Linked DNA regions of Callithrix jacchus. The protein of the gene in region 1 interacts with the protein of each later gene in a pairwise test. Links are inferred from orthologs where the notes say so. Each region holds a gene or a part of one and is shown on either strand. Other genes may lie near its edges.

Region 1 (4,386 bases):
TTTCCTCATTACACTTCTCAGTACCGCCAATGGTCCCAACAGAATGCTTTGGCTGGTCAGACTCATCTCTTTATCAAGTTCGTCCAGCTTTTGTCTCTACAGCTGTGCTTTGATCAACCAACATTTCCCACCCATTCTTCAGGGTACTGCTCAATTCCCTAACCATTTTGTTCCATGCTGATGTCTGCTTTCTCAACCGACTTCTGCACTTAGCAGTATAACTTGGTCTAACTGGTCAGTCTAATTGCCGGTGTCACAGAAGGTAATATACAGAAGCATGAAACTCATTATTTTGGTCCCAGTCCAACAATATTAGGTACTTTGAGAACAGAGACTATGTTTTCTTCTGTAGCTCTGAAGAAAAGTGAACTTTTCAGGGAAAGACAATGATTGTGGGCCTGAAACAACAAAAACAAAGATGAATTTTCCAGATTCGTCTTTTTCTACAGACTGCCCATTTGCCACTGAAGCCACTGCAGAGGTCTTTTTACCACATGCAGCTGTGCATTTGAAGCATTTACGAAGAATCTGCCTGTCATCATGTTGTAATTATTACTTATAAGAGTTTTCATTTTTTTGTCATTGTTAACTTCACTATGAAGAATGTAATGCCCAGATGATTCATTAAAGTATAATTATAGTTAGCTGGCACAGATTAATAACTAATTAGGCAAGGGACAGTGCAAAAAATACACTTAATAAGATAGGACACAATACTTACAATTGAGTATTTAAATAGTCCTTGAACTGCAGAGAGAATAGACACCTATTTCACAGTCAGTAAAAAGGAAAAAAAAAAAAACCTCTGAAATTTAGATTATTTCAAATCATCATTTGAAACAGTTGAACATTATTAAATCATAACATTTTGATTTGAAGAAGCAGTTATTGTTCCAAATTAAATTCCCTGACGTTCTGAAGAAATCTTATGGAATCTGACATGCTCGAGGGTAAGGAATATTCAGTAACAAAGGGCAGCAAGAGAAAATAGCCTGGTTCACAACTCTGGAATTGATTCACTGTAGCTGAAGCTTAAAGGGGGTGGGTGGAGGGAAGGCTGGCGTAGTGGCCCACGCCTGTAATCCTAGTACTTTGGGAGGCTGAGGCAAGAGGACAGCTTGACCGCAAGTTCAACCAGCCTGTGCAATAAGGCGAAACTCTGTCTCTACAAAAAACACAAAAGTTATCCATGCCTGGTTACATCGCCTGAAGTCCAAACTACTCAGGAGGCTGAGGCAGGAGGATTGCCTGAGCCCAGGAGGTGGAGGCTACAGCAAGCTATGATTGCACCACTGCACTCCAGCCTGGGCATGGGAAACCCAGTCTCTTTATTTAAAAAAGAAAAAGCCTGAATAAATGGGTCCAAGATATGAATCCAAACTGGAATCATAGGATCTCATCATCTTACCATGGCAACTCAACCACATTTTGGCAATTCATACTACAATTGCTCCTGGATCCTCAACTTATTATCATTTTAATTTCCAAAAGCATATTTCAGAGTATTTTGTGTTTCCCAATTCACAGCCCGAAAGGACTCAGACACCTATTTGAGTGAACCCAGGCACATGAGAACTAAAGTTGGACAGGAGCATGTTATGAAGAAAATGTGATGATTCCCCTCTGTCAGCTTGGGTCTCCTGTACCTGACCCTGAACGCCGCCAAGGGTAAGGCTGGGTCTTCCGCACACCTGCACCATGGGCATGGAAAACAGTGCCTTCCTCGCTTGCTAAGGGGCCGATGTGCTAAATCAAGGCTGAAAGAAACCCTGGGCCTGCCCTTAGACATCAGGGTTTTTCCGAGTTTGGTCCTCCTGTCATCAGAAGCAACTCGGGAAGGATGCTCGTTAAAATGCAGATTCCAGCCAGACGCAGTGGCTCACCCCTGTAATCCCAACACTTTAGGAGGCTGAGGCAGGAGGATCACTTGAGGTCAATAGTTCAAGACCAGCCTGGTCAACATGGTGAAATCCATCTCTACTAAAAATGCAAAAAAAAAAAAAAAAAAAAAATTTGCTGGGCATGGTGGCACCCACCTTTAATGCCAGCTACTCGGGAGGCTGAGATAGGAAAATCCATTGAACCCAGGAGGTGAAGGTTGCAGTGAGCCGAGATAGCAGCACTGCACTCCAGCCTGGGTGACAGACTGGGAGTCAGTATCAAAAAGGGCTGGCCTCAGTGGCTCATGCCTGTAATCCCAGCACTTTGGGAGGCCGAGGCGGGCGGATCACCTGAGGTCGGGAGTTCGAGAACAGCCTGACCAACATAGAGAAACCCCATCTCTACTAAAAATACAAAATTAACCGGGCGTGGTGGCGCATGCTTGTAATCCCGGGAGGCTGAGGCAGAAGACTCGCTAGAGGTGGAGATTGCGGTGAGCCGAGATTGCGCCACTGCACTTCAGCCTGGGCAACGAGAAACTCCGTCTCAAAAATTAAATAAAATAAAATAAATAATAAAATACAGGTTCCTGAATCCCAAAGTTGACTACACCAATCAGGATCTCCGGGGTTCGCGAACGTCCATTTTTACAGTCCCACCTCCCGTCCCCCATCCCTCGTCCTCCTTCCTATCCCTCACCCCCTCCCCATCCAGGCCTAGCGGTCTCAGGCCCAGGCGTGCGCAGGCGCGTCCCCCGCCCGCCGCCCACCCGGCCGTCCCGTTCCCCGCACCGCCCACCTGAGGCAGTCGTTGTCTCTCACGAGGCGCGCGCTCTCGGCAGGGGGCAGGAGCCCCCCCTCCAGGTAGAGGCCTAGGAGGGCACCAGAACTGAAGCCGAAGCGCTGGCGGATGAGACTAATGAGATCTGTGACGACTCGGCATCTGTTCAAGTCGACCAGAAGCCAGAAGGCTGTACAGTGCGGGGTAGCTGGCGGTGGGTAATCAAATTGAAGCCGTAGCCTAACCGTCTCGGAGGCTGCCATCTTGCTCGGTGCTCAACGGAAGCCGAGAGATACCACAGGGCTACCGAGTGGCGTACTCGGGCGGCCCGCCCCTCGGAGCTTTTGGCGTGTGCTACCTAGTGGTGGAACCTGGCTACTACAGGCTACGTTAGGGCGAGAACTCGGAGCATGTGGTTGATTTCATTCAATTATTTTCACTACAGGGCTGTGCGAGGGAATAAGTGAAATGCCTTTATTACATTTCTTCCGGGCGCTCTGTAGGGTCTCCTAATTAAGGCGAGTCTCTGGATAAATAACTTCTAAGATACTTACTCATCGACGTAAAAGATTTGTATAAAACAGTCGTAACACATTTCACTGACAAGTTTTCATCATAATTAGTTGAAAAAGATGTAAATCCTAGGCCGGGCGCGGTGGCTCACACCTACAATCCCAGCACTTTGGGAAGCCGAGGCGGGTGGTTCACGAGGTCCAGAGATAGAGACCATCCTGGTCAACATGGTGAAACCCCGTCTCTACTAAAAATACAGATATTAGCTGGGAATGGTGGCACGTGCCTGTAGTCCCAGCTACTTGGGAAGCTGAGGCAGGAGAACCGCTTGAACCCAGGAGGCGGAGTTTGTGGTGAGCCGAGATCATGCCATTGCACTCCAGCCTGGGTAACAAGAGCGAAACTCCGTCTCAAAAAAAAAAAAAAAAAAAAAAAAGATGTAAATCCTAGTGTGTTCTCAGTGTTGACATTTTGAAATAAAACTGCTAATCACTCTTTCAAATGTTTCCAGTGGAATATGAATACCTTAGCCTTTTAATATCCACTACTAAACAAAAATGTCCTTGTATTTATCACCAGTAAGTAAATCAGAAGTTTTACATTATTTCTTTTATTTTTCGAACTAGAATTTACATTTCTCCCACATAATATATATTAACTCTTAATTTTCATGACGAAAGTTAGGAATTATGAACTATTATCCTCATTTAGAGGATTTTTTAAAACCAAGGTTCAGAGAGTTTAAGAAATAACACTAGAGGCCAGGAGCGGTGGCTCACACCTGTAATCCCAGCACTTTGGGAGGCCAAGGTGGGCAGATCACTTGAGACCAGGAGTTCGAGACCAGCCTGGCCAAAATGGTGAAATCCCAACTCTACTAAAAATATAAAAATTAGCTGTGTGTGGTAGCATGAGCCTATAATTCTGGCTACTCAGGAGACCGTGGCAGTAGAATCCCTTGAACCCAGGAGGTAGAGGTTGCAGTGAGCCAAGATCGCACTACTGCACTCCAACCTGGGCAACAGAGCAAGATTCTGTCAAAAAAAAAAAGGAATTAACTTCCCCAAAGTCACTAGACAGTTAAGTTGTAGGTACCAGGGGTTCCATAGATGAATTGAAAACAAATTTTTTAAAGTGAAAGCAAGGTGTTTTGTTTTTCTTTTACTTTTTTAACAGTCTCATTGTCACCCAGGCTGGGGTGCAGGGGTGCGA
Region 2 (3,649 bases), on another chromosome or scaffold:
TAAGCCCCATGAGGAAAGCAACCTCAACTGTCTTCTTCATCACTGTACTTCTGTGGTGCCTTGAACAATGCCTGGCACACAGTAGACTGCATGGATCTATGCTGAGCAAATGGTGCGAAGGAATACTAAAGATTGACGGTTGCTAAGAAAGGTGAATTGCATTGCAAATTATAGCCTGCTTTCCTCTTCAGCTGAGGTTGGACTGACAATGTCAAAGGCCAAAGGGTGAACCATGAGTCAACACAGTAGTGAGAGGAGCTGCTTAAAAGAAAATTAGGGCAACCAGCCTGGCCAACACGGTGAAACCCTGTCTCTACTAAAAATACAAAAATAATTAGCTAGGCATGGTGATGGGCTCCTCTCCTGTAGTCTCAGCTACTCGTGAGGGTGAGGCAGGAGAATCGCTTGAACCCGGGAGGCGGAGGTTGCTGTAAGCCAAGATCGCACTACTACTCTTCAGTCTGGGCAACAGAGCAAGACTCTGTCTAAAAAAAAAAAAAAAGAAAGAAAGAAAGAAAAGAAAGAAAATTAGGGCCAGATACAGTGACTCAAAGCCTTTAATCCCAGCTCTTCAGGAGGCTAAGGCAGGATTATCCCTTGAGGCTGTGAGTTCAAAACCAGCACAGGCAGCCTACCAATACCCTGTCTCTACATGAAAAAAATTTTTTAATTAGCTGGGCATGGTGATATGTGTCTGTAGGCTCAGCTACTCAGGAGATGGTGACAGGAGGATGGCTTGAGCCCAGGAGGTGGAAGATGCAGTGAATTATTATCACACCACTGCACTCCAGCCTGGGTGACAGAGTGAGACTCTCTAATGAAAAAAAAAAGAAAAAGGAAAGAAAATTCTAATTTGGTAAAACTAGAAAGCATCTTCTCAAAACTGCTTTCTTCAGAAGGAAATCCTGTTAGTATTCTTGTAACTGTAGTCTATGTCAAGTAAATGGTCTTTTCTGGGCAAGGGTTTTCAACATGAAGTTACAAAATTGAAAGGAAAATACAACAAAATAAATTGTGGCTAATATTGTTGTGATACAGTCTAGCTAGAAATTCAGTCATAGCACTTATTCATACAAGTTTCCTGCAACGTTTCTTTTTCTTTCTTGCCCAAGTCAGATACACTATGAAATTTGCCAATATCAGACATTTGTTCTTGGTCCCTGTCCATTAGTCTTACTGTTGCTAGTTATTAGTATTCCTTTGTATTTCTTTAGAACAGTTATTTCTACTGATAACTGGTCACAAAACAGTTCTTCTTTTTTTCCCCCTCCTGAGACAGAGTGTCATCCCGTCTCCCAGGCTGGAATGAAGTGGTGCAATCTTGGCTCGCTTCAGCCTCCCTCTGCTGGGTTCAAGCAATTCTTCTGCCTCAGTCTCCTCAGTAGCTGAGACTATAGGCATGTGCCACCATGCCCAGTTAATTTTTGTGTTTTTAGTAGAGACAGGGTTTCACCATATTTGCCTGGAAGCTCTTGATCTCTTTACCTCATGATCCACCTGCCTCAGCCTCCCAAAGTGCTGGGATTACAGGCGTGAGTCACTGCACCTGGCCAGAACAGTTCTTCTTTATACTTATTTAGGCAATTAAGTAGTTGGAGAGAAGCGAGAAGTATTACATGGAAAATTATAATCAAGAATGTTAGGTTGCATAAATAATATTTACCAAGGGAATCCTGAAACATGCTGAACATATCTTTCAAGCCAAACATTATGCCATCTCCTGAAATTTTTCAAATTCCTAATATCTTTATCTTTAGCATCTCATTTAATCCTGATTTTGTTGCTGCCTTCTAGGAACGATCATTCTACAACTTCATTGTGTTTAAATTATGTCTCTCTGCCCTGCCTCAATACAGATTATTATGCCCTCTTTGGTACTATATGCCATGGATGTGAATTTCCCATAGAAGCTGGTGACATGTTCCTGGAAGCTCTGGGCTACACCTGGCATGACACTTGCTTTGTATGCTCAGTAAGTAAAGTCTTACTTCCTACTTAAAGGGGAATAGTACGGCCAATTCTAGCTTTAGTATTTAATGGAAATATCAGCTCTCATATCTTTTAGTCCATTGAACCTAAAAAATATATATTTTTACTTTTTTGTAAATTTTAAAAGTTGTTTATTACATTTTTTGGCATTTTTTAAATTATTTGGCAAACAGTGAGATCCTTAGTCCTTAGAGAAAATATAATTTTAATATATTTTTGTCTATAAGAAGAAGCTATCTATTTCTTAAAACAGTAAGTTTCCTTTACTTAAAAAAAGTAGTTTTTGGAAATGTTAGGTACTTCTTAAAATACAAAGGAACAATTATCAAAATCTATTTTTGAATTAACACTAGGAATAAAGTATATGTTGATTCATTTCTTTTCTCAGCAGTAGCTTCTGGATATTCTTTTCTTTTTGAGACTATAGTCTAATAAACATGTAACAAAGTATTTGCCTATTCATTTGATATTTTAATATTTTTGGTTTTATGTTTAATGATTAGGATAGATTCAGAGATTAAAATATATAGTTTTTAAATGTAGGAAGTAAATATCCACTAAACATGCCTCTGTTCAGGTGTTTGATTTTTGAAAATTTGATTTAACATAGCTATAGTTTTCAATACCCATTGTACAAAGGGAACAAAAGTAATATTAATTGAAGCCTAATGATTTCCCCAAACATTACCATTGAACTCATGTTTACCTCATCCATCTCTTAGACTTCATAAAGTCTATAAAAAGCAAAAGTTTTAGCAGATTTACCTTTTCTTTAATAAAGCTCTTCATGAGAATTTTAATTAACAAAGGCAGCAGGAAGAACAGGAAGCTGTACATGTAGATAGTCAGCTGACTGTGTAATCCTGCAGCAGCCAGATGTTGACCTGGGTCTTTATGTAAGAAACTAACTAAAAAGAGGTCTCAGCTTGAACACAAGGCACCCCTTAAAAAAAAGTTCTCAGGTATTCTGTGTATTTGTGGGCAAGCTAATGTTGGGCTTGGGAAGGTTTGGTAAAGCAAATGAGTCATGTTTTGGTTCCCTACAACACTAAGCAAAATTAAGACATTGTTTAGAATTCAGGGAGATACAATATATTTAATGGGCCCTCTTTCTATATTAAATTTTTAGTTAGGAATAAATCTTCCCTCTGGATAAAGAAAAGTGATGCTCAGTGCTTTCTATAAAGTAGAATACATTCTAGGAAAAAGCCATATTTCATTGCTTTTGAAAGATTATATCTAATTGTCCTAGTAATTGTGAAATATTAGGGAGTCTAACATAACCAACTAAAGTGTTTTGTCGTATTATCCATTGGGGGAAAAATCACTTTCTCCTTCTCCAGCATACTTGATACAATCCTCTTAATATCCTCTTAAATAATGCATAATATCCTTTTAAATAATATCCTCTTAAATAATGCTTCTTTTTCAGGTGTGTTGTGAAAGTTTGGAAGGTCAGACCTTTTTCTCCAAGAAGGACAAGCCACTGTGTAAGAAACATGCTCATTCTGTGAATTTTTGAAAGTCAACAGTTCAGGAGAAGAGAAGAAATTTGAAGAGAAAAATGAAAATTAAAATTACTAATTAATTTTTAGATTCAATATTTATTTGGAGTTTTGAAAAATCATAGTGGCCCTGAAGGAATAAATTCCAGCTTTAA

Evidence for each region.
Region 2: the proteins of COIL (region 1) and PDLIM5 interact in binary tests that used the Homo sapiens proteins (3 or more experiments, as listed by UniProt). The two-hybrid records come from large-scale screens. The link is inferred for Callithrix jacchus from reciprocal best matches to the Homo sapiens genes COIL and PDLIM5.

What each region holds. Positions count from the first base shown.
Region 1 is NC_133506.1:109,381,001-109,385,386, reverse strand, and holds the start of COIL (coilin), read right to left. Parts: upstream 2,949-4,386; 5' UTR 2,925-2,948; coding exon 2,680-2,924; intron 1-2,679. UniProt on the Homo sapiens protein: Component of nuclear coiled bodies, also known as Cajal bodies or CBs, which are involved in the modification and assembly of nucleoplasmic snRNPs.
Region 2 is NC_133504.1:102,891,337-102,894,985, reverse strand, and holds the end of PDLIM5 (PDZ and LIM domain protein 5), read left to right. Parts: intron 1-1,856; coding exon 1,857-1,972; intron 1,973-3,421; coding exon 3,422-3,511; 3' UTR 3,512-3,554; downstream 3,555-3,649. UniProt on the Homo sapiens protein: May play an important role in the heart development by scaffolding PKC to the Z-disk region. May play a role in the regulation of cardiomyocyte expansion. Isoforms lacking the LIM domains may negatively modulate the scaffolding activity of isoform 1.